3 linked regions of the Macaca fascicularis genome follow. The protein of the gene in region 1 interacts with the protein of each later gene in a pairwise test. Links are inferred from orthologs where the notes say so. Each region holds a gene or a part of one and is shown in the gene's direction. Other genes may lie near its edges. The genes, in order: LMNA, VAMP4 and ZSCAN12.

What was found.
Region 2: the proteins of LMNA (region 1) and VAMP4 interact in a two-hybrid assay, tested with the Homo sapiens proteins (2 studies listed by BioGRID and IntAct, with this or other methods). The link is inferred for Macaca fascicularis from reciprocal best matches to the Homo sapiens genes LMNA and VAMP4.
Region 3: the proteins of LMNA (region 1) and ZSCAN12 interact in binary tests that used the Homo sapiens proteins (3 or more experiments, as listed by UniProt). The link is inferred for Macaca fascicularis from reciprocal best matches to the Homo sapiens genes LMNA and ZSCAN12.

Annotation. Positions count from the first base shown.
Region 1 is NC_088375.1:104,959,735-104,970,448, reverse strand, and holds the start of LMNA (lamin), read left to right. Parts: upstream 1-4,248; 5' UTR 4,249-4,456; coding exon 4,457-4,812; intron 4,813-10,714.
Region 2 is NC_088375.1:29,352,054-29,362,767, reverse strand, and holds the start of VAMP4 (vesicle-associated membrane protein 4), read left to right. Parts: upstream 1-5,437; 5' UTR 5,438-5,607; exon of another isoform or gene 5,608-5,891; intron 5,892-9,073; exon of another isoform or gene 9,074-9,077; 5' UTR 9,078-9,122; coding exon 9,123-9,188; intron 9,189-10,714. UniProt on the Homo sapiens protein: Involved in the pathway that functions to remove an inhibitor (probably synaptotagmin-4) of calcium-triggered exocytosis during the maturation of secretory granules.
Region 3 is NC_088378.1:144,778,209-144,788,922, forward strand, and holds the start of ZSCAN12 (zinc finger and SCAN domain-containing protein 12), read left to right. Parts: upstream 1-5,090; 5' UTR 5,091-5,286; intron 5,287-6,020; 5' UTR 6,021-6,088; coding exon 6,089-6,490; intron 6,491-10,714. UniProt on the Homo sapiens protein: May be involved in transcriptional regulation.

The DNA of each region.
Region 1 (10,714 bases):
CTAAAGCAGAAACAAATGCAAAAACTTGTCTAGAGTCGCTGCCTGAAAACTGGCAGGGCCAGATGCATTTGTTTATCCAAGAAACCCTGAGAGGGCTGGGCATGGTGACTGGCATCTGTGATCCCAGCACTTTGGGAGGCTGAGGTGAGGATCACTTGACCCCAGGAGTTCAAGACCAACCTGGGCAACATAGTGGGACCCCATCTCTTAAAAAAATAAAGAGGCTGGGTGCGGTGGCTCATGCCTGTAATCCCAGCACTTTGAGAGGCCAAGGCAGGCAGATCAGCTGAGGTCAGGAGTTCAAGACCAATATGGCCAATATGGTAAAACCCCGTCTCTACTAAAAATACAAAAATTAGCTGGGTGTGGTGGTGGGTGCCCGTAATCCCAGCAACCCGGGAGGCTGAGGCAGGAAAATCGCTTGAACCTGGAAGGCAGAGTTTGCAGTAAGCTGAGATTGTGCCACTGCACTCCAGCCTGGGCAACAGAGCAAGACTCCATCTCAAAAAAAAAAAAAAAAAAAAGAATAGAAACACCCACCGAGTGCCTGCTGTGTCACAGAGGGAAGACCAGGATGCTATAAGAACACAGAGAAGCCCCCCTACCCCCACCAAGATCATTGGTCTTCAAGATAAAGTGCCCACGCCTGGTGCAGTGGCTCGCGCCTGTAATCTCACACTTTGGGAGGCTAAGGCAAGGCGGGGGATCACTTGATGTCAGGAGTTCGAGACCAGCCTGGCCAACATGGTGAAACCTCGTCTCTACTAAAAATACAAAAATTAGCCGGGCGTGGTGGCACACGCCTGTAATTTTAGCTACTCGGGAGGCTGAGGCAGGAGAAACGCTTGAACCTGGGAGAAAGAGGTTGCAGTGAGCTGAGATTGTACTGTTGCACTCCAGCCTGGGTGACAAGAGCAAAACTCTGTCTCAAAAAAAAAAAAAAAAAAAAAGCTCAAACTGTCCCTTGGACCCAACCACTGTATTCTGATTTCACTCATGAATGCTCCAGCTCCCAGACTTCTGGGATCCCTTTGGAATTCATCCAATTCAGAGTCCTCCACTGCACTTTAATCATCTGTACTTGTTGGTTTTGCTTCTCCTTCTGTCTTCCCCACTAGTGGGAGGCTCCCTTGAGAGCAAGCATAGTACTGCCATGACCCTGTGGCACAATGTGCAGAACTCTTGCACACCCAGGAGCTCAGTCCCTGTCTTTGATAGCCACTGTGCCCTACTGAAACTGAGGTCCAGAGAATTCAGTAGCGGATCTAGCATCACCCATCAATTAAGAGGTAGGATTAGAACCTGGTCACCCTCTAGTCACCACTCCCCTCACCTCTCACCTCCAGCAGGCTCAGCTCCTCTGGACCTGGATGCTGCTTCTGGGTTGGTGATTTTTGCCCTGGCAAAGGGAGAGCAGACTTACAACATCTGGGGTCCAGAGTTAGGATTGAATATTCAGGATAAGGGTTCACTTTGAAGTTCAGATTTAGGATTAAGGCCATTTTGATAGTGGTGGCAGGGAACCTTTAGAAAGAGCTTGTAGTAAAATGTGGGGTGAAAGCCCTCCTTGTTTCTCCTGCACCTTTTCCACAAGATGGGGAGGTCTGGCCAGACACAGTGGCTCACACCTATAATCCCAGTGCTTTGGAAGGCTGAGGTGAGGATCACTTGAGGCCAGGAGTTACAGACCAAATTGGGCAACATAGCAAGACTCCATCTCTATCATGGTAGCCTATAGTCTCAGCTACTCAGGAGGCTGAGATAAAACAATCACTTGAGCCCAGGAATTCAAGGTTGCGGTGAGCTATGATTCTGCCACCGCACTCCAGCCTGGGTGACAGAGCAAGATTCTCAAAAAAAGAGGGGGGAGGTCTAGGATAGGAAGGGTTAAGTGTGGTTTTGCTTTCCAGCCTGGAAGGGAAGCCAGGCCGAGCAGCTTTGTAGGGGAAACGGGGGGCACTGAGTGCCAGGGAGGGGCTGAGGCAGTGGGAACAGCATGAGCCCTTCCCTCATGTTTCACTTTCTTACCCCTCCTGCCTCTGCTTCTGGTTTGGAGAAGAACAAGACTTTTTATTGTCTGGGAAGCTGAGGGTGGGTGCCACGCCCTGGGGCAGAGAAGCCATATTCTGGGCCCCCTCACCCGGGTGCATCCCTAATGCTCACCATGCTGCCCAGGCACCCTCACTGAGATGAGAACTTTCCTTGTTCTCCTCCCCTAATAACCAAAGTTCCTGCCTTAATCCCACTCCAGTCCCTCATCCACCCCAAGGCCAGGCTTCAGAACCCAGAACTGAGGGCCTGTCCAGCCCTGCTTTCCTTGTGTTTGAGAGAAGTCCTGATATCCTGGAGCTGTACAAGGTAGCAACGTAATTTGATTTTCCTGGTTGCTCATCGGAGGATAAGCTGTGGGAGGCAGTTGGGCAGGGCATGCAGGCAGATGGGGCCCAGACCTCAGTGCTGTCACCTCTTAGAGAGGATGAGGTGGGCCGGGCGTGGTGGCTGACACCTGTAATCCCAGAACTTTGGGAAGCTGAGGCAGGCAGATTACCTGAGGTCGGGAGTTTGAGACCTGTTTGACCAACATGGTGAAACCCCATGTCTATTAAAAATAAAAATAAAAGCCGAGATCGTGCCACTGCACTCCAGCCTGGGTGACAGAGCCAGACTCCGTCTCAAAAAATAAATAAATAAATAAAAATAATAAAAATAAAAATAAAAATAAAAAATTAGCTGGACAAGGTGGTGGGTGCCTATAATCCCAGCTACTCAGGAGGCTGAGGCAGGAGAATCTCTTGAACCCTGGAGGTGGAGGTTGCAATGAGCCGAGATCATGCCACTGCATTCCAGCCTGGGTGAGAGAGCAAGACTTCATCTCAAAAAAAAAAAAAAAAAAAAATAGAGGATGAGGTGGCTGATGGGACCAGAATAGGGGCCAGGATGAGGGGAGGGGAGTGGAAGGCTTATCAAAAGGGTCCTTGGTGAGGCCTGAGGATGGAGGCTCCAGAGCCTGAGCTAGCGAACCCTGGGGACCTGGGTGATCTCGTTTTGTGAGACAGCCTGGCCCCTCCCCAGAGCCAGCTGCAAAATGGACCTGGCCAGAGAGGAAAGTAGAGATGAATGTGGTGCTGGCCTTTGCAGCCAGCAAGGCTGTGGGGTCTTTGCTGTTCCTGCCCCCCACTACCTTCTTACCCCCTACTACCTTCTTTCTGGCTGAAACCAGGATAGAGACCCAACATTGGCTGTCCAGCCCCCAGCCCTGCTCCCCCTTTCAGGCCCCTCTGGGAACCACAGAAATCTGGGACCTAGTGTCCTGGCAACGTAATGAATGCACACACAGCTCTGGTATCTGTTTTAAATTATCCATTAAAATAAGTACAGTTCTGGGGAAAAAAAATTAAGTTGACTGGGTGGGGTAAGCAGTAGAAAGGGACTGAAGGGGGAAGGAACCCAAGCAGTGCTTGGGTCCAAAGGAAGGGGACAGGAGATGGAAGGGGGAAGTGCCTGGCTCCTATTCTTGGCCTTCTTTAGGGGACTGTGGCTTGTTGCTTGGGTCTAAAAACGAATGCTTGGTTTTGAAGGGAGATATATTGGGGCAAAAGAAAGCAAAAAAGGGACCCCCAAACTCCTTGATCCCTGGCCCCAAATTGGGGGCATAAAGGAACTCAGGTTCCAGAACTTTGTTCCCCCCAGGGAACCCAGGCATTCCTTCTCCACCCCACTCCTGGCACACTGAGATGCAGCTCTGAATGGGCTGCCCACGTGTGGAGGGGGGGTTGGGGTGACTCACTATTACTACTGGGAGGACAGGGGGAGCCAGTGGTGGAAGAAGGGTGAGTCACACTGATGGGCACCAGCCTCAGCCCTCCCCCCACTTTCCTGGCTCCCAGCCCTGCCTGCCTGACCCTCTCCCTTGCTTTGCACCCACTTCCCTCTCTTTCTCCCCCACCCTTTTGCCCACCCACTCTCCCTCCTTGGCTCTGCCCTCTAGCCCAGAAGGTCTGAGGCAATGGGGGCAAGCTTGGAGCCGGCAGTACTGAGCAGCCAAGAGAGGGGAAGCTTAAGCCTCACGCAGTTAGGGGTGCGCTGGAGAGGGTGGGGCTCGACTCCGCCACACCCCAACGGTCTTTCCCCCTCCTCACCACTCCTGCCCCCACCCCCATGGATCTGGGACTGCCCCTTTAAGAGCAGTGGCCACTCCTCCCTTCAGACGAGGACCTATTAGAGCCTTTGCCCCGGCGTCGGTGACTCAGTGTTCGCGGGAGCGCAGCACCTACACCAGCCAACCCAGATCCCGAGGTCCAACAGCGCTCGGCCCAGATCCCCACGCCTGCCAGTAGCAAGCCGAGAGCCAGCCGGCCGGCGCACTCCGACTCCGAGCAGTCTCCGTCCTTCTGCCCGAGCCCCGAGCCCTTTCCGGGACCCCTGCCCCGCGGGCAGCGCTGCCAACCTGCCGGCCATGGAGACCCCGTCCCAGCGGCGCGCCACCCGCAGCGGGGCGCAGGCCAGTTCCACTCCGCTGTCGCCCACCCGCATCACCCGGCTGCAGGAGAAGGAGGACCTGCAGGAGCTCAATGATCGCTTGGCGGTCTACATCGACCGTGTTCGCTCGCTGGAAACGGAGAACGCAGGGCTGCGCCTTCGCATCACCGAGTCTGAAGAGGTGGTCAGCCGCGAGGTGTCCGGCATCAAGGCCGCCTACGAGGCCGAGCTCGGGGATGCCCGCAAGACCCTCGACTCAGTGGCCAAGGAGCGTGCCCGCCTGCAGCTGGAGCTGAGCAAAGTGCGTGAGGAGTTTAAGGAGCTGAAAGCGCGGTGAGTTCGCCCAGGTGGCTGCGTGCCTGGCGGGGAGTGGAGAGGGCGGCTGGCCGGCGCCCCTGGCCGACTGCAGGAAGGGAGTGAGAGGGCCTGGAGGCCGATAACTTTGCCATAGTCTCCTCCCTTCCCGGAACTGCCCCCAGCGAGTGACTGGCAGTGTCAAGGGGAATTGTCAAGACAGGACAGAGAGGGAAGAGGTGGTCTCTGGGAGAGGGCGGGGGGGATATAAGGAATGGTGGGGGTATCAGGGACAAGTTAGGGCTGGGGCCTGCCCGAATTCGGTCAGATTGGGATTTGCCAGCTATTTGGAGCCTGCGGGAGGGGCTTAAGCAAAACAGAACTAGCCCTGCCAGCTCGAAGAACTCTGGGCACCCAGGACACATATGAGTAGCAGAAAGGGTCCTGTTAGAACTTTGTTGGCGGGCTTGGCACTGGTGCCAGCTTTGCCCAAGCTGGCTCTGAACACATGATGCCCACTAAGACATGACTCCCAAGCTGGCATCTGTCCAGCGTGTTGGAGAGAGGTGAGAAAGGCAGGGCAATCCCCCTTTTCCCTCCCGAGGGCTTGGCGGTGGCCCCCTCGGCATGACCTTTTCCGGGGTTCTAAGGGTTGGGAAGCTGTCCCTCACTCTGCCACTCTGCGTGTCTGGGACCTTCCTTGGGCTCTGACAGGCCCACCAAAAGAGCTCCGGGAGATGGGAGATCGGGAGATTGGCTCCCCCGCAGCTCCCACAGCCCTTGGCCTGCTTGGCCCAGGAATGCAAGGGAGGGAGGGAGGCAGAGGGCAGAGGCTCCCAGCTCAGGAAGTTGTGTTATGCCCAGGTCTGGCCGCACTCCTCCCTTGGCCCACTGCCTCGTGTCTTCGAGGGTTGGGGGCACTGTCCTTCCCTCCTTGGAGTGAGCCACTTTCATTTTCCCAGCCAGGCCAGGCAGTCTTTGCTCAGGCCCATCCTCTTAGCTGCTGACGTTTTGATCTTTGTCTTATTAAAGTGCTGGAATACAGTGACATTTTTGAAATCCAGCCGTTGGAAGCTTCAGGCCACTCCTACTTTACCCACCCCTGCCCCACCCTACCCCACCCTGCTCAACTCCACCTTCTTCTTTCCTAAAAAAGCCTTGGGAGCTTGGAAGTATAGGCCTTCCTCTTCCAGTCCCCCCAAAATTTGGTTCCCTTCTTCCTGCCTTCCCTTTCTCTATGCAGACCCAGGCTAAGAGCACTAACAGGGCTTGGAGAGCCATAAAGGGCTGTTGGCTTTGAGTTCTTCTCTCCCTTTTATCAACTACTCCAAACTTCTGCTCTTCCCAAAACCCTTTGCTAGGTGTGGTGGGTGTGGCAGATCCATCGCCCTTTTTTTTTTTTGAAAATGGAGTTTCGCTTTTGTTGCCCAGGCTAGAGTGCAATGGCACAATCTCGGCTCACCGCAACCTCTGCCTCCCAGGTTTAAGCGATTCTCCTGCCTCAGCCTCCCAAGTAGCTGAGATTACAGGCATGTGCCACCATGCCGGGCTAATTTTGTATTTTTAGTAGAGAAGGGGTTTCTTCATGTTGGTCATGCTAGTCTTGAACTCCCAACCTCAGGTGATCCACCTACCTTGGCCTCCCAAAGTCCTAGGATTACAGGCGCGAGCCACCACGCCGGGCCCATAGCCCTTCTTTCTGAAGAGTCAGTAGAAGTTGTGTGTAGGAAAACAGGCTCAACCTTTTTTTCTTTCTTTCTTTTTTTTTTTTTTTTGAGACAGGGTCTCACTCTGTTACCCAGACTGGAATGAAGTGGTGCGATCTTGGCTCACCGCAACCACCACCTCCCAGGCTCAAGAGATTCTCCTGCCTCAGCCTCCCGAGTAGCTGGGATTACAGGCGTGAGCCACCACACCCAGCTAATTTTTTTTTTTTTTTTTTTTTTGTATTTTTAGTAGAGACAGGGTTTCACCATGTTGACTAGACTGGTCTCAAACTCCTGCCTTCAAATGATCCACCCACCTCAGCCTCCCAGAGTGCTGGGATTACAGGCATGAGCCACCATGCCCGGCCATCAACCTTTATTTTGTTTTTTTGAGACGGAGTCTCGCTTTGTTGTCCAGGCTGGAGTACAGTAGTGTGATCTCGGCTCACTGCAACCTCTGCCTCCTGGGTTCAAGCCATGCTTCTGCCTCAGCCTCCCAAGTAGCTGGGACAACAGGTGCCGGCCACCACACCCAGCTAAATTTTGTATTTTTAGTAGAGACGGTGTTTCACCAGGTTGGCCAGGGTGGTCTCGAACTCCTAACCTCAAGTCATCTGCCTACCTCCGCCTCCCAAAGTGTTGGGGCTAAAGGTGTGAGCCACTGCGCCTGGCTTCTTTTTTTCTTGAGATAGGGTTTCACTCTGTTACCCAGGCTGGAGTGCAGTGGCAAGGTCATGGCTCACTGCAGCCTCCACTTCCCTGGCTCAAGCCATCCTCCTGCCTCAGCCTCCTGAGTAGCTGGGAGCACAGGCAAGCACCACAACTCACAGCTAATGTTTTTGTATTATTTTATAGAGATGGGGTTTTGCCAAGTTGCCCACACTGCTCTTGAACTCCTGGGTTCAAGCAATCCTCCTGCCTTGGCCTCCCAAAGTGCTGGGATTACAGGGCGTGAGCCACTGGGCCCAACCTCAAACTTTATTTCTGCTGAAGGAGACCGCACCTGTCCTTTTCTTTATTTTTATTGTATTTTTCAGAGACAGGGCCTTGCCCTGTTGCTCAGGCTAGAGCGCAATGGTGCAATCATAACTTGTTGCAGCCTGGAACTCCTACTGGGCTCAAGTGATCCTCCCGTCTCAGCTTCCCAAATAGCTGAGACTAAGGGCAGGCACCACCACGCTTGGCTAATTTTTTTTTTTTCCTTTTTGTTTGTAAAGATGGAAACTTGCTATGTTGCTCTGCTGGTTCTGAAGTTTTGGCCTCAAGCAATCCTCCTGCCTCGGCCTCCCAAAGCACTGGAATTACAGGCATGAGCCACCGGGCTTGACGCCAGGCCTGTCGTTTTTCTACTAGTGATATGAACAATTTAGTTAGCAAGACAGAAAGGAAGCAAGGAAGGGGAGACCCAGAGAATTCGATGCATTCTTTTTTTTTTTTTTTTTTTTTTTTTTTTTTTTGAGACGGAGTCTCGCTCTGTCACCCAGGCTGGAGTGCAGTGGCCGGATCTCAGCTCACTGCAAGCTCCGCCTCCCGGGTTCACGCCATTCTCCTGCCTCAGCCTCCCGAGTAGCTGGGACTACAGGCGCCTGCCACCTCGCCCGGCTAAGTTTTTGTATTTTTAGTAGAGACGGGGTTTCACTGTGTTAGCCAGGATGGTCTCGATCTCCTGACCTCGTGATCCGCCCGTCTCGGCCTCCCAAAGTGCTGGGATTACAGGCTTGAGCCACCGCGCCCGGCCTCGATGCATTCTTAACCATTCCACTCAACTACCAAATCCCTGTGAAGGACATTTTTAGCAGTTTTAGCAGTTTTCTGGTTAAAACTTTGATCAGGAAACAGGTTGAATGGATTCGATAGTCTTGCTCATCCAACCACGCCAGCTTGTCTCCTCTGCCTCCTAGTGCAGCTGTCCAGGCCTGGGACACCAGGCGGGTATGTGCGCACATGGGGCAGGGCGGGGGTGTTGTGTGTACTTGTTATATTTAGCCACCTGCCTCTGTTCTCCCCCACTGATCCTGGCTGGGAAGGCTGGGCTTCCGGAAAAGAGAGGTGGATTTGCACACCTGGATCCCAAGCTGATAGAAAGTGGGGTGAAGACAAAGGGGACTCAGACTGGAGTGTCTGTCCTCTTCTATGCCCACAGTAGGAGGAGCCAGGATTGGTCACTCCCTGTTGGGTCTGCTGTGCTCAGGGTGAGGTAGAGAAGTGGGTAAAGAATTTGGGGGAGGAAAAAAGGCATTTTCCCAACCCCTCCCACCAAAGCCTAGAGAAAAGGTGTTGTCTGGTTTAATGTTTAATTAGAGCTCAGAGTTCAGGGCCAGATTTGGAGTTGGGATGGAGAATTGTTTGTAAGATCCTGTAGCAATTTTTGACTTAGCCTGGGTACCTCAACCACACTCAGGAGTTTGGGGGACCTTCTGTTTGGCTGGATTATAGGCTCCAAGAAGAAACCCCTTTTCCCAGTACTCTCTCTCTCCTTTTTTTGAGACAGGGTCTCGTTCTGTTGCCCAGGCTGGAGTGCAGTGGCGTGATCACAGCTCATGCAACGTCAACCTCCCAGGTTCTGGTGATTCTCCCACCTCAACTTCCTGAGTAGCTGGGATTACAGGTGTGTGCCACCATGCCCAGCTAATTTTTTTTTTTTTTTTTTTTCTGAGACAGAATCTTGTTCTGTCGCCAGGCTTGAGTGCAGTGGTGCGATCTCGGCTCATTGCAACCTCCACCTCCTGGGTTCAAGCGCTTCTCCTGCGTCAGCCTCCCAATTAGCTGGGACTACAGGCACATGCCACCATGCCCAGTTAATTTTGGTATTTTTAGTAGAGACGGGGTTTCACCATGTCGTCCAGGATGGTCTCCATCTCTTGACCTCATGATCCACCTGCCTCGGCCTCCCAAAGTGCTGGAATTACAGACGTGAGCCACCGCACCCAGCCCCCAGCTAATTATTATTATTTTTTGAGATGGAATCTCACTCTGTTGCCCAGGCTGGAGTGCAGTGGTATGATCTCGGCTCACTGCAACCTCTGCCTCCCAAGTTCAAGTGATTCTCCTGCCTCGGCCTCCCGAGTAGCTGGGACTACAGGCGCCTGCTACCACGCCCGGCTAATTTTTTGTATTTTTAGTAGAGACGAGGTTTCACCATGCTGGCCAGGCTGGTCTCGAACTCCTGACCTTTTGATCTGTCCGCCTTGGCCTTCCAAAGTGCTGGGATTACAGGCGTAAGCCACCGCACCTGGCCACTAATTTTTTATATATTTTGTACAGATGGCGTTTCACCGTGTTGCCCAAGCTGGTCTCGAACTCCTGGGCTCAAGCAATCCACCTACCTTGGCCTTGGCCTCCCAAAGTGCTGGGATTTGTAGGCATGAGCTACCATACCTGGTCCCCCCTGCCCCTTCTCTGTCTCTTTCTAGTCTGTAGCCCAAGGGATTTGGATACCCAAGTGCAGGCAGAATGGGAAGGTTGTAAGCACCAGGGAAGCCCATCTAGAGTCCAGGCTTGCAGCTGGGCCCCACCCCAGGCAAGACAACTGGGTGGATGACTCAGATGCTGCCCCCCTCCCTCCCACCCTGGTGGCTTTACAGGAGACAGCAGGAGACAGGGTGGAGACAGCAGTTGTCTTAAAGAGAGGAATGGTGGTCTGAATGTCTACATCTTCTGCCCCCCTCCCCATTGAATCCTGGAGTCCCTTGCCTGGCTCCTTCCTTAGACCCTCTGGTGGTGTCTGGAACCATAGCTCTCTCTAGACAGGCAACATGCACAAGTAATTAGAATCCAGAGTTGAGTTCAGAGCCATGGATTGGGCTGCAGGATAGTGCCAGGGTCTGTGCCTTCCCATGTGAAACTGATGGAGGAAGGCTGAGTCAGAAGTGGGGAGATCCCAGGTCCACAAAGCAGAAGCACTACTTCCACCCCAGCGAGGCCCTGGTGCTCGACAACTTCCTGGATTGCCCACTGTTGCAGCCCCAGTGTGGACACGCAGGGAGATGCAGGCTCCAGTTCATGTAGCCTCTGATGAAGACAAGAACAGCAAAGGCCACAGAGGCACAGAGGCTTTTCCCATGTCACACAGTAAAGGGGTGATAGGTCAGCACTTGAGCACAGACCTTGTGACTTCCAGTTGGGTGTGCTCTTACCATTAAGCCTCACTTCTCTAGCTTGGGGGACAGGTTGGAGGGAGGATCTAGAGGGTGAGGTAAGGTGAAGTCAGGTAGCTGAGGCTCACTTCTGCAGCC
Region 2 (10,714 bases), about 76 Mb from region 1:
AATAATATTGTATCAATGTTAAATTTTCTGAATTTGACAACTGAATTAGAGTTATGAAGAGAATGTTCTTGTTCTTGGTGATACCTACTGAAGTATTTAGGGGAAAAGAGGCATGACATCTATAACTAATTCTCAAATAATGCATGCTGGGGGGAGATACATATTTCAAAGAGAAGTAATAAAGCAAACTTAGTGAAATGTTAACAAACCACGTAAACTCTCTGGCACTCTGTTTCTTCATCTGCTTGGAGATAAAAAGAGGGCTGAACTATTTTGGTTTTATTCACACTTTCATGAAATCCATTTAGGAGTTGAGGTCAGCATTAGAAAAGTGTTATTAATGAATCTGGATAAAGGATTTAAAAGCATTTAAAATCAAAACTAAAATAAACTAATACCATATTTATATAACACCAAGGCACTCTAAGCATGAAAAGATAATGGTTAACTACATGATACCTGTATACTTCCTCTCCAAACTAATTGAGTTATATGCTTACAAGAGTCAATTTGCATTTGTACTCCAAAGTATTTATGTCTATTATACTTATAGAATCTATTTAAATATGTAAATAGATTTCTAATGAAATACAAATAGAAAGTTATTTTCTATAAAAACTAAGTTGATTAACATGAACAACAAATAAAAATTACTGTAGAACTAGGCATAGGTAAGGCAAATCTGTAAAACTTTGGAGAAAAAATTGTACAAAAATCTAGACTGACTGGGCATTCAAACTGCTTGAAAGGTGTCTTTAACTTCTTGTTCCACCTTGAAGAAAATGAAACTGGAAACTGTAAACAATGCAAATTGTAACAAAGACAAATTGTTCCAACAAGCAAACTCATGCTCAGATAAAAGGTCTTGGGCCTACTACCAAGACTGGTGAGTGAACATATAATTATACATTTGAGTCAAAATAAAATGACTAAAGTATATATTTGCCATTTTAAAATATGTACCACTATAACTGACTTTTTAAATTAACTGATCAATTGGTCCCAATTTTAGGGGAAGAGAGTGCCTCCACTATTGTTTTAATTGAAAAAGTACTATACATGGTAAAGATAATTCGAATGGTACAAAACACTACACATCAAGAAAGTTTCCCTTCTGTATTAGTCTTCTAGGGCTGCTATAATGAAATAATATGGACTAGGTGGCTTAATTACAGAAATTTATTTTCTCACAGTACTAGAGGCTAAAAGTCCAGGATCAAGGGGCCATCAGGCTTGGTTTACTGTGTGGCCTCTCTTTCTGGACTGCAAATGGCCATCTTCTGTGTTCTCATATGGCCTATTCTCTGTGCCCATGCACTCAGACACTAGCTCCATAGGATTAGGGTTTTGCCCTTCTGACTTCGTTTAACCTTAATTATTGTCCTAAAGGCCCTATCTCCAAATCTAGTCACACTGGAAGTTAGGACTTCAACATATGAATTTTGAGGGGATATAATTCAGTCCGTAATACTTTCCATGCCAGAATCACCGTCCTACTGATGTGTGTGTGTGTGATGCTCAAATGGAAGTAGAGTCTACACATTATTTTGCACCTTACTTTTCTCACCTTATAGCATCATACAGGTATTCCATGTGAGCACATATAGATCTATCTAGTTTATTTTAATGACTACATACTATTCTATTGAATGGCTACATTATGACTTATTTCAGCGATTTCCTATTGCTGAACAGTTAAGAGGTTTTTTTTCACTCTATTACAAAAATCCTGTAACAGATATTTTTATAGAATACTTTTATATACAACCTGTATACCCATGGGATAAATTTTAGAAGTAAAATTGTTAGATCAAAAAGAACTTCATATAAAGTTTTGATACATATAATTACCGTGAACTTTTAAAAAAAATGCACCAATTTTTATACTCCTACTAAGTGTTTAAGAATGCTTGTTCCGGCCGGGCGCGGTGGCTCAAGCCTGTAATCCCAGCACTTTGGTAGGCCGAGGCGGGCGGATCACGAGGTCAGGAGATCGAGACCATCCTGGCTAACACAATGAAACCCCGTCTCCACTAAAAATACAAAAAAATTAGCCGGGCGTGGTGGCGGCGCCTGTAGTCCCAGCTACTCGGGAGGCTGAGGCAGGAGAATGGCGGGAACCCGGGAGGCGGAGCTTGCAGTGAGCCGAGATCGCGCCACTGCACTCCAGCCTGGGCGACAGAGCGAGACTCCGCCTCAAAAAAAAAAAGAAAAAAGAATGCTTGTTCCTCCCACCCTGCTCTCATACTACACACACACACACCCCCCCAATACTGTAGTATCAATTTTTTTATTTTTGTCATTGAGCTGACACAAAGGACCAAACTGTCAAATCAGAGATTTTACTCAGTATCAAGCTTTACTAATAATTTCAAGAATACCAGTAATTCCCAGGTCCTTTCTTCTTGCTTTGGATGCATCCTGGCCCAGGACAGATGTGGTTTCTAAACCAAGAATATAGTCATCCCACTTACACAGAAGGAGCCAACTCAGTTACAAAACACTTCCATTTTACGCTAAGTTATATAACTTCCGCGGTATTTTCCAGTTAATCGTACCCCTGAAATCCACACTGATTCTGTTTTGTTTTGTGAGAGGGAGTCTCGATCTGTCTACCAGGCTGGAGTGCGGTGGCGCGCTCTCTGCTCACTGCAACCTCTGCCTCTCCGGTGCAAGCGAGTCTCCTGCTTCAGCCTCCTGAGCAGATGGGATTACAAGTGTATGCCCCCACACCCAGCCAATTTTTGTATTTTTGGTAGAGATGGGGTTGTACCATGTTGGCCAGGCTGGTAAGTCCTGACCTCAAGTGATCCGCCTGCCTCAGCTTCCCAAAGTGCTGGGATTACCAGATCGATTCTTAATGTGTTTACCATAAACAATTCCAGGACAATCCGGGACATCTTGATAGAGGAATTCCATAAATATGGACTCTTCAGCTAGCAAATACCACTGGTCTGTTTGCCAGGAGGTCTGTAATTACCATATTTATAAAAATTACACGCTCGCTTGCTTGCTCTCCTGAGAGTATTTCCCTACGAGAGGAGAGACTGGATTGAAGATCTTCTGCTCAACTCCTTTCTCAGTCACTGATAGAGGAAAAATGGTATTTCCTTGTTCACTTTTACATTTTAAGTAATGTTGAACATTTAGCAATTAAATATTGAAAGCTAGAAGGGAGATGAATCAAGAAGCAATTACCTTAGCAGACTGGAAAAGTAGGAATTCCAAGCAGGCCATGAAGCAACCTGATGCACACAGTGAAACCCTGCACAAGGCTCAGGAATTGGAAGCACCGGGTAAAGCTGAAGAGAGCATGATGTGAGCTAGAAATAAAGGGGGAATGGTAGAAAGTCTGTTTAAGAATGAATCAGATGCTCAGATTCCCTTTGTTATCCCATCAAAAGCCCAGAGATTTAGTCTTGGGAGAATAAGCAAAACGCTGATTCTCTAGCTCGGAGGACAGCAGGCACTCTTAAGGATGAAGGTGTCACGTTGCAAAAGGGGAAAAGAAAATTAGAGGACTAACATCTGAATAACTGAAGCTCACTAAAAAGAAAATGGAGGAAATAAGTAACTCAAGTTGCTTATTGAGTTACTTATTTAGAGTTCTGATTCTAAGCTCAGTGCTACTTATAATCTTTTAGGCTTACTGGTATATTTGATTCACGTTAACTGTAAAATGACATTTTCTAAGTTTCGCAAATATTGGGGATAGTCAAAGGGACTTTGTTCAGGTGATTAAAGGGTGGGACTTGCATTACCCCTCTCCTAAGTGACCATTCCAAAATGACTGGTGGGACTAAAGAATTATGGTTAAAAAACAAAGAAACCCAAAGAAAGGATTATCCATAAAAGCTATGCAATGACGTGCTGTTGGAGCTCACTGACCACACCTTAAGTTGTCTATGCACAAAAGACGAGGCTATAACTAGCTAAAGCTCCAACTGGCTAAGGCACCAAAGCCAGAAAATATCCTATAACATGCAAATATATAGACATAAAATCAACTGTAAGTGCTGGGCACAGCTGCTTGTGCCTGTAATTCCAACTACTTGGGAGGCAGAGGCAGGAAGATCACTTTAGACCAGGAGTTCACAGCTGCTGTGAGATATAATTGTGTCACCGCACTCCAGCCTGGGAGAAGAAGTGATAACTCGTCTCAAAAGAAAAAATCAGCTGTAAAAGGAAAAATGATGTCTGGGTTACCTGTGGAGTCTGGGGGTAGTCCCACTATCACGCCTAGACAGAGATATAAACCATGAGAGGTTTCTAAGTGGGCCGTTTCAGTCCAAGTCAGCAACTTGGCATAAACATAGGCAACTGAGTTTAGCATCAAGCTTTCAGAACCTTCAACTGACAACCCAACGGCTGTTTCTAAATCTCAGACCATTTAAATCAGAATCTAGGTAACACGTGGGCACCTACGCAGTTTTAAAAGCTTTCCAAGTGATTCAACTCCAAGTGAATCAGAGTTGAGCATCATTGCCTTAGTCATGGCATTTTTCAAATTCGTTAGTACAGTTTTACATTAAAAAAAAAATCAAAAGAAGAGCAACTTTTTGGTAAGAGGGTGTCTATTCTTTCCTTTCCTTTAGTGTCCTCAGATCTTTCCTCCTGCTGTTTTGTCTACTCTTGTTCTTGAACACCCCCTCTTATTTTTATATCTTTAGAAAGTGCCTGGCAAAGCATTTCAGACAGTTAAAATACTCTATCAACAAAGGACCCATAGACACTGTATTCATTTTAAAAGATGTGTAGTGAATATGATTCAATGAGTAAAATAATCCAGCTGGGGCGTGGGAGGAATGGATAATAAAACAAATAAGAGAACGGAAAAACAAAATTAGGACTTGTTTTTGGTAGCCAGCTACAGCGGGCTTCGAGATCTAAACATGATACCAAATTGGGCGGAGGGGGAGGGAGTGAGGGAGGAATGGGCAGAGTGGCGGAATGGCCTGGCAAGGGCGATTTCCCTGAAACCTGAAGGCTTTCAGGTTACAACTAAGGGATACCAGGAAAAGAACACCGAGCCCTCGTTCCGTATCTATCTAAACTAGCTGTGTAACTTTAAGTCAGTCTCCTCTCTGAACCAGATATTCCACCTATCTAAAGGGAGGAGCCTGGCCTAGGAACCCCTAACATCTCTTTCCAAGTGTAGCTAATTCTGTAAACAAGGGATCGAACAGATCTCCTTTCTTCAGAAAAGGCCCCAGACGAACCCGAAGCAGGTCCACCGGATCGCGACCGGAACCTGGAGAACCGGTGGTCGTTCCTCCCCTAAAGCACAGCATAACCTTGGAAAGCTGCACCTAAACTGCGTGTGGGTCCGGGCTCTTTTAGGCGAAGCGCGTTCGGCGGAATCGACTTCCTCGACTATCTCCGTGCCCTGGACCCGCCCTCTCCGCCTGGCGCCAGGCCGCCGAGCGCCGATCGGCTCGATGAGCGGAGGCGCTTCTGCGGCGCTGCGGCCGACGCCGGGTCTGCATCCACTGTCTCCCCCTCCCAGCTTTTTACCTCGGCTTCCCACTCCTTCCCCCGCCCGCCCAGCACCGCCCGCCCAGCACCGCCAGCCCGGGAGAGCTGCCGGGAGTTCCCCGGGAGCCTCAGGTACTGGCGCTGGCCTGTTCCCAGCGGGAGGGGCTGGTGTGAGGAGGAAGGAAACGAAGAAGACGCCCTGCCTCGCCGCCCCCCGACGTCCTAGTCGGGCTGGTCGGCCGGCCTCCGGCATCTAGGAAGGGACCCCGGAGTGGGAAAAGGCTGGGGCCCGGGGTGTCGTGAGGAAGGAAGACGAGGACAGGGGTGTGCGGACGGGGAGCAGTTGAGGAAGAGAAGACTTGGAATGGAAGGGAACTCTGGGTGATGGGAAGAAAACAGTGCCATGGATGGGGAAGGTTTGTTAAGAGTGGGATGCAGTCAGGAATGCCAGGGGGTACCGTGGGGCAGGAAGGGCCAGTGTTAGGAGCAGATATATCCAGGGACGTGGCCTGGTGCGACAGATTGGGTGTGGGGGGTGAACGGAGCTGCCTGGAATTGTGTATTTAAAGGGCTCAGGAGAAAGAGCGCCAACCCTGCTGTGTTTATAATGACCGGAAGGTGGGGGTGAATCGTTACACTTGACAGGTTTTGCAAATGACATCTCCGGTTTGTGTCCATCCAAGTCACTTTATTTCTGTGAAACTGCATCAAGCAAGACGGCTGATGACAGACAAGGAAGACGAGTCAGAAAGGGAATGGAGGCTGGGAAAAGGAGAGCCTCTGCCCAGATTCAAAGCTGTTGACTAGATAACGTACTACTTACAAAAATGCATACATAGACATTTAAGTATATGCCGATGTATAAGAAGCATACGGTGATGTGACTTTTTTAAGTGAATTTTATAGTGGTGGTCTATCCTCAATGTGGAAGTACATGATAGCTCTCTTATTTACATGTATACCTAGTCACAAACACCTGAATTCACATGTCTTTTTTGTAGGAGAATCTTAGGCGGACGATATCCTTGTCTACTTTCTGAGCATGATTCATTTCTACTAGTTGTTTGATACACATGTCATCAGTTACTAATAATCACCAGTTGCAAATAACGTCAAAGTTCATCAACGTAGCTAATTAATCTGCCTACTGCTTTGCTGATGGGCTTTCTATTTGTTGCACATGGTTTCCTGGGATTAAGAGACCTGAATATGGGGTTTGCTCCTCCTTAAGATTGTAGTTTTACCCTATGTCTCATAAAGGCATTATATAAGTCAGCCTGTTGTTTGCTTTGAGATGTTGAGGGAGCCTCTTTGCAGGGGTTAAAATCTAAATACAGATATAGTTAAAAGCACAAGTTCTTCAGTAATTTGCCTTGTCATCTGTTTTTCCATGCATTCTGTTACATTTCTGCAAGAATTAAGTATTCTGAAATCAAAGTATGAGGAATAAAAGGGCCAGATGTATGTGACAGAAATATTGTGGAACCAAGAACTCAAGAGCTGTTAGGCAGCAAGAGTTTGGTTTTTGTTACAAGTGAATAATTTCTGATTTGGAAGCATTTCTTACCAAAGAAAAGTGTTTGTGTCCGTTTGTTTTGACAAGCAGCTGACTTAAAATATTACTTTTATTTGGTTCGTGAAACATGATTCTGGGATTATTCTTTTTTAAGTGTATATCATTAACCAACAAACTGATATCTAACTATACCTAATTTAAAGGGCTGTGTTTCTTCTTGTGGAGAAGGAAACAGGACTATTGGGTTGTTACCAGGAAGTGGGTCTTTCTAGAACAGAATTCTGTAAACCTGATGAGCAACTAATTGAAAAAAACAGTTAAAACTGATAATGCACAGCCATTGATTAATTTAGGCCTGTATCTCTGCTGTTTCAATGAGTGTAGTGACTAACGTTATCGTTACTAAACTTTAGTTTTCTCCTAGTTTCTTGGTGCCTACTTCAAAGAAGGGTCATAAAGAGTAAAAGAAAATGCATGCATATCACTGAGCACAGTGCCTAGCACACAGTATAACATTATTTCTGAGCTATCCTGAATTGCTGAGTATTCATCTACCATCTAGTCAAAAATACTGAAAATTCATTATTTGCATAGAACAACTTTTTCTCAAAAAAAATTTTTAATATGTTGCATACACAAGCATTTTCCTGGAAAGTCACAATGCATATTAGCATATAACAGGATGTGAGTCATTCTGTAGCAAAGAAAACTAGTTTTGTTTAATCCAGTTGTTTTGATAGAAGAAAAATTGAGTTTCTCCTATTCTCTCTCAACACAGAATACTCCTGTGACCCCAAAAAGACTTCTCCTCACAAGCAAGCAGGCAGTTCTGCAGCAGGTTCTCCAGCTGGGTGTTCTCTCATTCAATTCTGATACTGTATACCTAGAGATAGCATCAGATCGGGCAGGTTGAGGGCTTAAGCCTACAAGATTCCCCCCTTCAGGTGCCAGTCACAAGTTCCAGGTTGTTTTACCTGTGCTTCCAACTGACTGGCTATAAATCATAGTTCCCACAATCCCTTCCTTGTGTTCCATTTATTTGCTAGAGTGGCTCACAGAATTCAGAGAAACACTTTGTTTACTGGTTTATTATAAAGGATAGAGATCAACAGCCAGATGGAAGAGGTGCATAGGGCAAGGGGTACAGAGCTTCTGTGCCCTCTCCAGGTGTGCCACCGTCCAGGAACCCTCTACTTGTTCAGCTTTCGGGAAGCTCTCTGAACCCTGTCCTTTTTGGGTTCTATGGAGTCTTCATTAGTAGGCATGATTGATTACATCATTGGCCATTGGAAATCAGTTCAACCTGGAGCCCTCCTCCCCTCCCAGGAAGCTAGGGGGTGGGGCTGAAAAGTCACAGTCTTATAATCATACCTAGGTTTTTCTGTGACCAGCCTCCATCTTGAATCTATGTGGGGGCTAAGCTACCAGGCATCTTACTAGCATACACAAGACACATCACTGCAGGGATTCCAAGGATATGTCAGGAAATGGGGATTAAAACCAAATATATATATATATATTTTATAAATCACAATATCACACAGTACTTACCAAACTTACCCCTTTTTATGGAGTACCAATGGGACATTATAGTTTGCAGAATATTTTTGCATGTATTATCCAATTTGACCATCCCAACTCTGCCGAAGCCTGAAAATCACTATTTTACACATGAGGAAACTGAATCATTGTTTAAGCAGCCAACTAAAAGTGAGAGAAATAGACATGTTATCCTGTCTTCTGACTCCAAATTTAAATTGTAAAGCATTTAATGTCTCAGTGAGACATCTTCCCTCTACTGTCTGCTCTTTCATTTTATAAAAATCTATCTTAAGTCACTCATATCCTACACATGTTCTCTTAGGGCAATTACATCCATTTTCTCATAGTTTTAACTATTTCTTATGTGTTGAGGTCTAGCATGGAGGCCCCATTCACTGGAATGGAACAAGTGAGAGGGGAGGAACTGAAGTCAGAAAAATGAGGGAGTCACCATTATACGGGGTCTTGTGTATATTGTTTTAAGTACTTTAGCTTATACCCCAAAGTCTCAAATCTGATGAAATTTATTTTCTCTTTAAGGCAGTCATTATCCTGTTGAGAAGTAGAAAATACTTCACAAGTAAAAAATATGCCTCCCAAGTTTAAGCGCCACCTCAATGATGATGATGTCACGGGTTCTGTGAAAAGTGAAAGGGTAAGTTCAGAATCTTAAGCTTTAAAAACAAAAGATTCAAAATATGTTTTCATTCCCTTTGTAAATAATAGAAAAAAACCATCCGGGCACGGTTGCTCATGCCTGCAGTCGCAGCACTTGGGACACTGCAGCAGAATAGCTCGAGCCCGGAAGTTCAAGACCATCTTGGACAACCTAGGGAGACCCTGTCTCTACAAATATTTTTTTAAAAATTAGTGAGGCATGGTAGCACGCGCCTGTGGTTCCAGCTATTTGGGAGGCTAAGGCAGGAGGATCACCTGAGCCTGAGAGATAAAGGCTGTGGTGAACTGTGATCTGCACTCCAACCTGAGCAACAGAGCAAGACCCTGTCTCAAAAATTAATTAATTAATTAATAATAGGAAAATCAAAAGTTTATGACTATATTCTAATCCTAATTGTTTTCTTCATAGTAAATGTATTTAAAAACATGTTACTTAGATTGGTGACAACTGAATCCTACTTCTATTATTGATCAAATCATTATTCTCATAGCTTCTTTCTAGTTTTTGAAAGGGAGTTTTATACAAATACACAATATCTTTTTAAGAACTTTGAAGCTGAATATATTTGGAATTTTTCAGATTTTAGAAAGTTAAGAACATATTATGTAACAGCATTTTTGGGGCCTGGACCAGTGCCTCCAAAAATATTAGTATTTCTCAGTGAAGTGTATATTTAGTTATACCTAACTAATGTAAATAAAGTGTGTAAATAAACTAGCTAACATCAGTTCAGGTCAGAGTTTCCTCCAAAACCTTTTGATTTTCAGAAGCTTTTAGATTTTGGAATTCCAAATAAAGGTCTCCAGACCTGTAATTATCTTAGGTTCCAGAGTATCTTTCACATAATGCTTCAATTTCTAGTTTATTCCAGAACATTCTGTGCAAAGATACATGAACCTAGAAATTATGCAGCATTTTGAAAGACATTTTATATGAATGTTGTAGGCAGATTACTTTTAGAATAAATAATACATATTTATTGGGGGAAATAATTCACATTCTTATTTTTTTAATGCACCATTCTGAAGCCCTCCTTCCCTTCCTTCTTGCCTTGATTCATTCGACAAATATATATTGACCGCCTACTGTGTGCTAGGCACTGGGCTAAAAATTGGATGACATAATCTGTGCCTTTGCAAAGCTTTTAGTCTGCTTTGTTTTACATGCTCTTTTTGGACAACCTCAGAACTTCATATTATCCACTCTGTCCACCATCTTATGACTTTTAGCCCTAAGTTTATTTTAGTACAACACAGGAAACGTTTTCTTCCCCTTAATCTAACCCTTTGTACAGCTTTTTGGGTTTTGTGTGTTTTTGATGGTTTGTTTTTATTTTTTGAGACCAGGGTCTCACTCTGTCGTTGAGGCTGAAGTGCAGTGGTGCTATCACGGCTCACTGCAGCCTCCACCTTTTGGGCTGAAGCTATCCTCCCACCATAGCCTCCTGAGTAGCAAGGACTACAGGTGCATGATACCACACCCGGCTAGTTTTTGTTTTTCTT
Region 3 (10,714 bases), on another chromosome or scaffold:
GAAATAGGAACGCTTTTACACTGTTGGTGGGACTGTAAACTAGTTCAACCATTTGGGAAGACAGTGTGGCGATTCCTCAAGGATCTACAACTAGAAATACCATATGACCCAGCCATCCCATTACTGGGTATATACCCAAAGGATTATAAATCATGCTACTATAAAGACACATGCACACATATGTTTATTGCAGCACTATTCACAACAGCAAAGACTTGGAACCAACCCAAATGTCCATCAGTGACAGACTGGATAAAGAAAATGTGGCACATATACACCATGGAATACTATGTAGCCATAAAAAAGGATGAGTTCATGTCCTTTGTAGGGACATGGATGAAGCGGGAAACCATCATTCTCAGCAAACTATCACAAGGACAGAAAACCAAACACCGCATGTTCTCACTCATAGGTGGGAACTGAACAACTTGAACACTTGAACGCAGGGCGGGGAACATCACACACCAGGGCCTGTCATGGGGTGGGAGGATGAGGGAGGGATAGCATTAGCAGAAATACCTAATGTAAATGATGAGTTAGTGGGTACAGCAAACCAACACGGCACATGTATACATATGTAACAAAACTGCACGTTGTGCACATGTACCCTAGAACTTAAATTACAATAATAAATAAACAATAAAAATGATAAAAAAAAGAAATTGGTTAGTAACTATAGCCCATAAAAAGTTACCTTATACTGTACATAATAATTTCCATAAAAATTGTTGCTATCCTGGCCTAAAATTTAGTGCAAATCCTCAACATCAAGCTTTTTCCTAACTGGAAATTTAAATATCAACTACAAATTAAAAATTGCATGTTGACTATGTCATTGAAACTCAGGAAAGTTAATGTTCTTAGGAAATAGTCTAATCAAACTGTTATAATCTAGTAAACATCTGATCTTGTTATCTATTGCTGCATAAAATGTTTCTCCAAAAGAGTGGAGAAAAACCACGCCATCATGTTTTGGGCCAGGAATTTGGGGAGGACGCAGCTGAGAAATTCTTCTGTTTTATGTGGTGTCAACTAAAGTCACTTGGTGGTATTCATCTGGCATTATAATTTGTCTGGAAAATCCAAGAAGTTTTACTGCCATGCCAAGTGCCTTGGCAGGGACAGCCAGAAAAGTGGGCTTAGCTGGGCTAATCTTCTCCATGTGGTCTCAGAGTTTCTTTATGTGGTCTTGGAGTCACATAAGGCTCACTTTGGGGTCATTTTCTCAGCATCTTGAAGGATTCTTGCAACTCAGTCACTGGAAAGCAGGGTTGATAGACTTCTTCCATGGTGGCTCAGGACTTCAAGAGCAATTGTTCTAAAAGACAAAAAGTGAAAGCTGCTGCTCTCCGAAGGCTCAGGCCAGAAACCATGGCATAACTTTTGCAGTATTTTATTGGTCAAATTAATGATTAAGCCCACTCAGATTCAAGGGAAAGTGACACAGACCCCACATCTTGATGGGAAATGTCAAAGAATTTGTAGCCATCTTTAATTTTCCACAATACCTTTATCCACCTCAGATTTAAAGTCTGAAGGAAAAATAAGCCTTTTTTGAAATCTTTTCCTAAATAACTTTTTTCTCAATTGTCTCCATCCCCTTTCAACCTCACTAAATAAACCTGGCACAATTACGAGCTAATCAAGTTTATACATGCTTTCATTTTCTTTTTTTTCTTTTTTTTTTTAGAATTGGCAAAGGCTTTAATACAGCTATTCTTTTTTTTTTTTTAATTTATTTATTATTATTATACTTTAAGTTGTAGGGTACATGTGCATAACGTGCAGGTTTGTTACATATGTATACTTGTGCCATGTTGGTGTGCTGCACCCATCAACTCGTCATTTACATCAGGTATAACTCCCAATGCAATCCCTCCTCCCTCCCCCCTCCCCATGATAGGCCCCGGTGTGTGATGTTCCCCTTCCTGAGTCCAAGTGATCTTATTGTTCAGTTCCCACCTATGAGTGAGAACATGCGGTGTTTGGTTTTCAGTTCTTGTGATAGCTTGCTAAGAATGATGGTTTCCAGCTGCATCCATGTCCCTACAAAGGACACAAACTCATCCTTTTTTATGGCTGCATAGCTGGGCTTCCAATATTACAGTTTTACCTTTTCTCTTAGTCTTTGAGTCCTAGCTCTCGACATCTGCTTTCTTTTCCCTTTTAAGTGCAGTTAGAAGGCTTATCAATATATCACAGGAAACTTTCTCCTTTTTAAATGTTAGAGTTATTTGGTTAGTAAAATGGCCGAAAAGTGTAATAACGTTAGACAAAAATTGTTTAAAATAAAGATATTCTAGAGATGCATTTTGTCTGCTCTTTGTCTCTATATCCTTGTGTTTCTCTAGTGTCAAAAGACGGAGATTGGTTTTACTCAGAGTTCTGTCTTAAGCTCTCTTTGTGCTTAGATGCTCTTTTCTTGTGGCTATGTTGCATCTGTGACAAAAAGTTGACTATTTCACCTAGGTCCCTGGGAACTATGCCAAGTCAATCATTCTTGGTGCAAGTTGACTTTTTAAGTGAGACTTTCATATCAGCTTCTTTCAGTAAGTCATGCCAAGTGAAACTTGGAAAATGACTGCATTGCAAAAATCCTTCAAGATGCCTAGAAAAGGACCCCAAAGTGAGCTTGAGGTTCACTTCCAGGTTGAATTCAGGTTGTTGTCCAATAATTTCTCTGTCTGTTGTTTTCTGAGATGTTCTATGGCTTCAGGTGACATTTGAGCCCTGACACGGTGTGAGGAGGGATCTCTCTCTCCCTTCTCCCCAGATGCCCTGAAAGAAGAATCTACAGGGCTGGCAGTAGGGGGCAAAGGGCACTCCAGAAATCTGTCCTAGGCTGTCTTTTGGCACCACACACTTCATGAGATCTCTTAATTGTTTTAACCATTACTGAAAGGTGGAAGGCTCCAAAATATGGATCTCAAGCTAACTCTCTTCTCATGACTCCTAAACCCACAAATCCCTAAACCAATCCGTTAACGAATAGCAACATCTACAGTGTAATGCTCCCTAGGATATCAAACTTAACATGGCCAAGCTGTGCTCATAAATTTCTTCTCAAAATGCTACTTGTCATTTAGTCCCCTGTCTTGGTGGAGGGACCACCATCCTCTGATGATACCAGGCTTCTATTTTTGGTTATCTTAACCCCCATACAATCAATGATGAAGCCCTGATCCATTTTTCCTCCTATTTCTCAATTTCATCCCCTCATATTTGGCATTTTAAAAATCAGGCCTCCCCCGATCCCATTTAATCTTGTGCATGTCAAAGTGTCTTTGAGATGGATTTCTAGAAGTGGTATTGCAGGAACAAAGGGTAAACTTACATATACAATTCTGCTGTGTAGTATTATCTTTCCTACCTATGGGTGGTACCATTTTGCATTCCCACTAGAATGTTAGGAGTTTCTCCTTCCTCTTGAGTAGAGTATGCTGTCAAACTTTTGGACCATTGCCATTCTGATGACTAATGGTACCTCAGTCAGCATAGTTTTTAATTTGTATGTTCATATTTTGAGCGAAGTTGAACATCTTTACAGATGTTTGAGGGCTGCTAGCATTTCTTATTCTGTCAACTATTTATTTCTTTTAGCCATTTTCTCTATTGGATTATTGGTTATTCTCAACTTTTAGGAGCTCTTTAGATATTTGGAAAACTAGCTCTTGCCTGTGATATGTTGCAAGTCTTTTTCTTTCCTTATTATTTTTTTTGACAAGCAATACATTTTATTTTCATGTAGTCAGATTTATTATTTTTATGAGTTTTGGATTTTGAGTCATATGGTTAGATGTTTCCCCATTCCCACGTGTTAGAATTATTGTTCATGTTCTCTTCTAATACATGTATAGGTGGATTTTTTACATTTAGATCTCAGATCCATTTAGAATTTATCTCTATTGTGATGTGTGGTGGGAAATACAAATCCAGTTTTACCTTTGACAAATGGTTGTCATCCCAGCACAACTTCTAAGTTCTTCATTTCTCTGTTGACATGTGGTGTCCCCTTCATCATTTACTCAATATCCTTACATACCTGGATCTATTTCTGGTCTATTCTTTCTCTCTGTTAATACAATAAAATCATATGGGTATGTTCCAGTATCTGATAAGGCTGACCCTCACCATTGTTCTTTTTCATGGGTTTCCTGGCTATTCTTATTTTCCCACTTGAACTTTATAATCAGTTTATCTAATTCCAGAACAATATTTGTTGATATTTTTGTTGGAATACTAGAGTTGCATACGTATTTAGGGAGGATTGACCTCTTTGAGTCTTTCTAAGAACCGCATATTGCTTTGTTTGTTTAAATGTACATCTGGCCTTTTAGGAGCTTTTTAAAGCTTTCTCCATAGAAGTTTTGTTCATTTCTTGTTAAGTTTATTCCTAGTTTCAATTTTTTGTTGCTATTGTAAATATAGTCTTCTCTTCCATTATATCTCGTAACTCGTTATCATTGATTATTCACATATATGAAGGCCATTGATTTTAGTGTGTTAACTTTATATCTTGCTAATTTACTAAATTATCCTTTTTTTTTTTAATAGTTTTTCCATTGAACCGGGTTTTCTGACATATAATCATACATCGGCGCATAAAAGAGAACATCAAGAGGATCGTGGATGGCGAAATAGCCGGCAGAAACCAGCCCGCTGGCCCTTGAGAAGTCTGTGTGGAAGAAATCCCTACGCCACCGCTAAGCGCGGATTTGGGAAGCTCCCCGGCAGAAGGTCCCCCGAGAACATCCCTTTGAGGCATCTCTAACCTCAGAGACACAGAATCCCAAAGTGAATGGAGACGCAAGGGATTTCCCTGTCTTAAGATCAGTTCTACAAGCCTTGACCACCCATCGGGCCGGGGGAAGTGTGGACAATGGCTGAGTAAAGAAGAGGAGAAAGATAAACCCGTTCCGTTTACCCGCGGGTCTGAGAGCCATCATCACCCTTCCTCTCACGTAGACGCGCGGAAACACTACTACCGAGTTGAAAGCCCCTTTCGCCCCCTTCCTAGAGCGGCCGCGGAAGTGCGCCCCACGCGGGTTGGTTCTCAGCCCTCCCGTGGCCGCTTCCGGCCTTTGTGGGTCACTTTTGATGGGTTCCGGGTCCCAAAAGGGTTCGAGGCCTTTAGGGGGGAGTTCTCTTCTGGCCCGGGGGGGCCGCAGGTGAGCGATGTTGTGCTCTGTATGCTGCGAGGAGGTGGGCGGAAGATTGCTGTATTCTAGTTGCTGGGCCCCTCGGCTCTGGCCGGTGCAGAATGGACCCTGGTCCTCCCAAACCCAGGTGGATCCGCGGGAAGCTCTCCCTCCCCAAAGTGCGCTGGGAGACTAGGATGAGGGATCGGCTCCCAGTCTGCAGCAATTCCGTGCTGTAAGGCCCATACCTACCTTCCGCGTTTGCCTCGGCGTTGTATCCTTGGGTTCAGCGCGTACCGACATTTCTAGACAGTGGTGGTTCACAGACGCTGGCCGGCGTCCCAGGGCCTTCCTCACTTCAGATTATAATCACAGACCATGAGGATAGAGGGAAGGCTTAAAGAGTAACCTCTTCAGCCTTCTCACTTTATAAATGAAGAATAAGGAGCGGAAAGTTTAAGTCCCTGAGGAAATAAATTTACATGACTTTGTTGCTTTTGTGATTTCATGGTTTCTACCAGACATCTGGATATTCAAAAGATAAAAGTAACTAATCAAGGATGTCCTAACCTTTTATCATTATTGTTTACTTGATCTAAATGTTAGTTTTATTCCATTTGCCTTTCATTTAGGACCAAATGAGAATAAGTTTACTAACAAGTCTTACTCTTCTTCTTAAAGTCCTGAAACAACTTGGCACCTTTCCTTAGTCTTTCTCTTTAAATTGGTCTAATCTTAAGTCTTTTCTATCAGAGTATTTTTCTGAGTAAGTATCGTACATTAACCTGGAGGCCAGATTTCAAAGATCATAGTTAAGTTCTCAGAATTTGCAGTTTTACTTTATGGTGGAGTTTGTGTTAATAATGATGGCTTATTCCTCAGGACTGTCCAGGAATAAATTTTCCAGGGGAGATCTTACTTGAAACACCGGTAGTTCTGGCACAGCTAAAATGGCATCTACTTGGGCTATCCAGGCCCACATGGACCAGGATGAACGTTTGGAAGTAAAGATAGAGGAGAAGAAGTATACCACCAGACAGGATTGGGACCTGCATAAAAACAACACCCATAGCAGAGAGGTCTTCCGTCAGTACTTCAGACAGTTCTGCTACCAGGAGACGTCTGGTCCCCGTGAGGCTTTGAGCCGACTCCGAGAACTTTGCCATCAGTGGCTGAGGCCAGAGACCCACACCAAAGAACAGATTCTGGAGCTGCTGGTGCTGGAGCAGTTCCTGACCATCCTACCTGAGGAGCTCCAGGCCTGGGTGCAGGAGCAGCATCCAGAGAGTGGCGAGGAGGTGGTGACTGTGCTGGAGGATTTAGAGAGAGAATTGGATGAGCCAGGAGAGCAGGTGAGAAAAAAGAGGTGACTTCTGTTTGAGAAAAGATAAATTGTGGATTTCTAGGCCAGAGTGAAGAACAGCCATTTTTTCACAAAGCATGTTTTTTGACAGTTTGATGCATCAGAAAGGGGCATGAGTTTCAGGGAAAGTTGGCTAATGTGGTCCCAACTTATTTATAACTTTTCTGTGGAAGGATTTTATATTTCTCTATTAAGCTACAAAATTCTGTTTGATAAATATGCTGCTCATCTTAGAAAACTTCTAAGACAAGAGAAGGTATCAGAGAGATGAAAGTAGCAGGATGGGAAGCAGTCTCTTGGAGGGGCATCACTCTGTTGCACAATACAAATAATTAAGAATTAAGGTTTTGCAGATATATCCATTGCTCTGACTCCATTACAGGGTTTTAAAATGGAAAAATTAACTATTTCAGGGGAATGAGATGTGGGAGTACAATGGAAAGTTAGTGAGGAGAGCAGGGTGGGGTTCTGTGTTTCTTTGAGTAGTAGAAAGCCCAGTTAGGCTGGAAAGGTGAATTCTGAGTAGAAGAGTTGAGATAGTGTCCAGGACCTTGAATCTCAACCTCTGGAATTGAGATTTTATTCTGTAGACAGACGCCCCTAACCTTTTCTTCTTGAGTCTAAATGAGCTTTACTAATTGTAAGATGTAAAAGAGAACCAAATTATATAGAACTTTTTTGTTTTGTTTTTAATACTAAAATGAGACAGTGGTTGTCAACCAGTGCCAATTTTGTGCCCCAGAGGGCATTGGCAATGTCTTGGGACATTTTTGGTTGTTATAACTCAGGGAGGTGCTCCTAGTATCTAGTGGGTAGAGAGGACAAGGCTAATGCTAAGCCTCTTACAACACACAGAACAGCCCCAGACAACAGAGAATTATCTAAACCAACATGTCAGTAGAGCCAACACTAGGAAACCCTGATATAAAGAGTTTGAAACTTAGGGAAATAATGAAATGGAAGTATAATCTAACACTGTGATACAAAATACAATAGAGAGGGTAGGAACATGTGGCAAAAAGATCTAAGTTTGAAATAAGATCACGAGGCCAGGCGCAGTGACTCATGCCTGTAATCCTAGCACTTTGGAAGGTCGAGGGAGGTGGATCACCTGAGGTCAGGAGTTCAAGGCCAGCCTGGGCAACATGGTGAAACCCCGTATCTACTAAAAATACAGAAATCAGCCGGGCATGGCGGCACGTGCCTGTAATCCCAGCTACTTGGGAGGCTGAAGCAGGAGAATCACTTGAACCTAGGAGGCAGAGGTTGCAGTGAGCCAAGATTGTGCCACTGTACCCCAGCCTGGGCAACAGAGTGAGACTCTGCTTAAAAAAAAAAAAAGAAACAGGATCATGAAAGTGTGATTACCAAGGATGAAGCATATCTTAGGTAAGAATTGTTTGGAAGTGATGACAGATTAGATCTATTAAATAAAGAAGGAAGAACCAATGGAGAACTCTTTACAGAGCAATGTATTCTAAGCTAAACACTAGGGATTTTAAGCTTGAAAGACTAGTATAATGGAGACACTCCTAACAAAGTTAAAGACTGTAGGAAATAATTAAGTACATATTTACTGTATGTCTGTTTGGACTAGGTACTGTTTTAGGCACTGTGAATGCAACAGCCAACAAAACACAGGGGGTTGCTATTCTTATGTAGATTCTGGTCTACTGAGGAGAGACAGATAGTAAATTAAAAATCAACAAACCAGCCCAGGCAACATAATGAGACCCCCATCTCTATAAAAAATACAAAAATTAGCCAGGCAGGCACGTGTAGTCCTAGCTACTTGGGAGGCTAAGGTGGGAGGATTGCTTGAGCCCAGGAGATCGAGGCTGCAGTGAACCGTGATTATACCACTGCAGTCCAGCTTGCGAGACACAGTGAGACCCTATCTCCAAAAAAAAAAAAAAAAAAAAAAAAAATCAACAAACATACAAGATGTAGGTGGTAATAAATTCTGTTCAAACAACAACAACAACAATAAAAGCAGAGAAAAGGAATAGTGAAATAAGTGGGGATTGTGCTGTTTTCTGTAGACTTGTCAGAGAAGGCTTTTCAGATAGGTGACATTTACAGGAGAAATCTGAATGAAAAGAGCAAGCCATACAGCTATCAGGGATAAAAGCATTCAGGCAGAGGGTCTTAAAGTGAGAATCTACTTATCACAGTAGAGATGTGTTTGTCAAGGAGGAGATGAAATAAAATCCTTATAAGATTATATTATGTCAGAACTTGTAGCAATTATAAGAATTTCGAATTGTATTCTGAGATGGAAAGTCACTGGAGAATTTTGAACAGAAGAGAGACATAATTTGACTTGAATTTTAAAATAGTCACTCTGGCTTCTGTGAGAAAGTTCCACAATGGGGCTGGGGTAGGCATAGGAGTAAAAGTTCGAGGCAAAGAAACCTTGTAGAAGCAATAATAATAAGCAATAATCCAGGCAAGAGATATTGGTGACTTGGACTAGAATAGTAGCAGTGGGAGTGGTAAAATGTGATTGGATTCTGGATGTATTTTGGAGGTAGAGCTTGACAGGGTTTGTTTTTATATAGAATGTGGAATATGAGAGAAAGTAAGTTAAGGATTATGCCCAAGTATTTGGTCTGAATATCAGATAGAGTGGATTTGTCTTTCATAGAGATGGTAAAGACTGGGAGAGAAGTGGGTTTGGGGTGGAAGGACAGGATTCTTAGATGCAGCCAAAAGTAATTTGGTTTTAAATGTGCTGAATCTGTATTGCCAACCAGTTCTTTCTCTGAAAGCACTGCAGGGGGCATCTAATGGAGTTTACAGCTTGATTTCTGAGGCCTGACCAGAGATCCAGGAATAGAAGGCACAGCTCACAGTACTGGCTTTTTCTCCCCGCTTTCTTTTTTCAAAATGTGAGATATCAAAACACCATTTTCTGTACATCTGAGATAGCATTTTGCTGACTCTGGCTTTTATTCTGAAGACTGAGTCTACAAAATGAAACCGTATCAGGGAAATAGAGGCAGTATATGGTGATTTCTTATTTATAAAATTTAACCTTTGAAGAGAATGGGGGAGTAATTTGAGAGCCTGTTGTATGCCAAGCCCTGTGCAAGGTGCTTTATACAAAAATTATTTATAATCTCAGAGAGAGTAAGTAACTAGCCCAAGGTCACAGAGCTATTAGACTAAGAGAGAGAGTTAGTAATCCATGTGATTCCATATCCCTGCTTTTTACAATACCTTGCTGAAGAAACCTATTATTTTTAAATGCAAGAGGAAATAGGCCCATGGAAGAATGGCAGCCACCCAGTGACTGAAATTGCTGAATAAATGAGTTAGTTAACTGAGGGAGCAAGGGTCAGAGGGAAGCCAAAAGTGATGGGATTGAAGGCAAAAGTAGAGATGTGAGCCTTGAAATAGAGAAGACATCATCCTCTAAGATAGAAGAAATGGAGAGGAGTATGAGGGTGGAGATAGATAAAATGAATAGTAGATGATTTTTGAGATGATTGTGATCTTGGATAAATAGAAAATAAGATAATCTTCCCAGAGAGAAGTGGGATGGGCACCTCAGAAGAGCAGAGACTATTGGGAACAGCTTAGGAATGAATATGGAAGAGATTTCTCTCCTTCCCTTCTTTTCCCTTTCTTTCTTCTCCCACCTTCTTTCTTTTCTTTCTCTTCATTTGTTCCCTTATACCTTTTGTTTTGTTTTGTTTTTGGAGATACGGTGTCTCTGTCACCCAGGCTGGAGTGCAGTAGTGTAATCATAGTTCACTATAACCTTGAACTGGGCTCAAGCAATCCTCCTGCCTTAGTCTCCTGAGTAGTTAGGACTACAGATGTGCGCCCCCATGCCCAGATAATTTTTAATTTTTTTGGAGAGATGGGGTCTTGCTATATTGCCTAGGCTGGTCTCAAACTCCTGGCCTCAAGTAATCCTCCCATCATAGCATCCCAAGGGTGCCTTTCTTTTTTATTATTTCTCTACATTATTTATCTTTACATATCCCCTTTCCTTTTCCTCTTTCTCTCTTAATGTTTTATTTTACCCGAAGTTCTATCTTATTTCCTCCTTTCTGCCTCTTTCACCTTTTTCTTCTCTCCTTTGTTTTGTCTTTCTCCCTTTCCTTTCTCCACTTCTTTGAGCATAAGACAAAGAAGTAAAAGTGGCACAACCAACATACTTTAGCAGTAACAACAGGAGAAATTACATCTGGGTGTAGAAGGG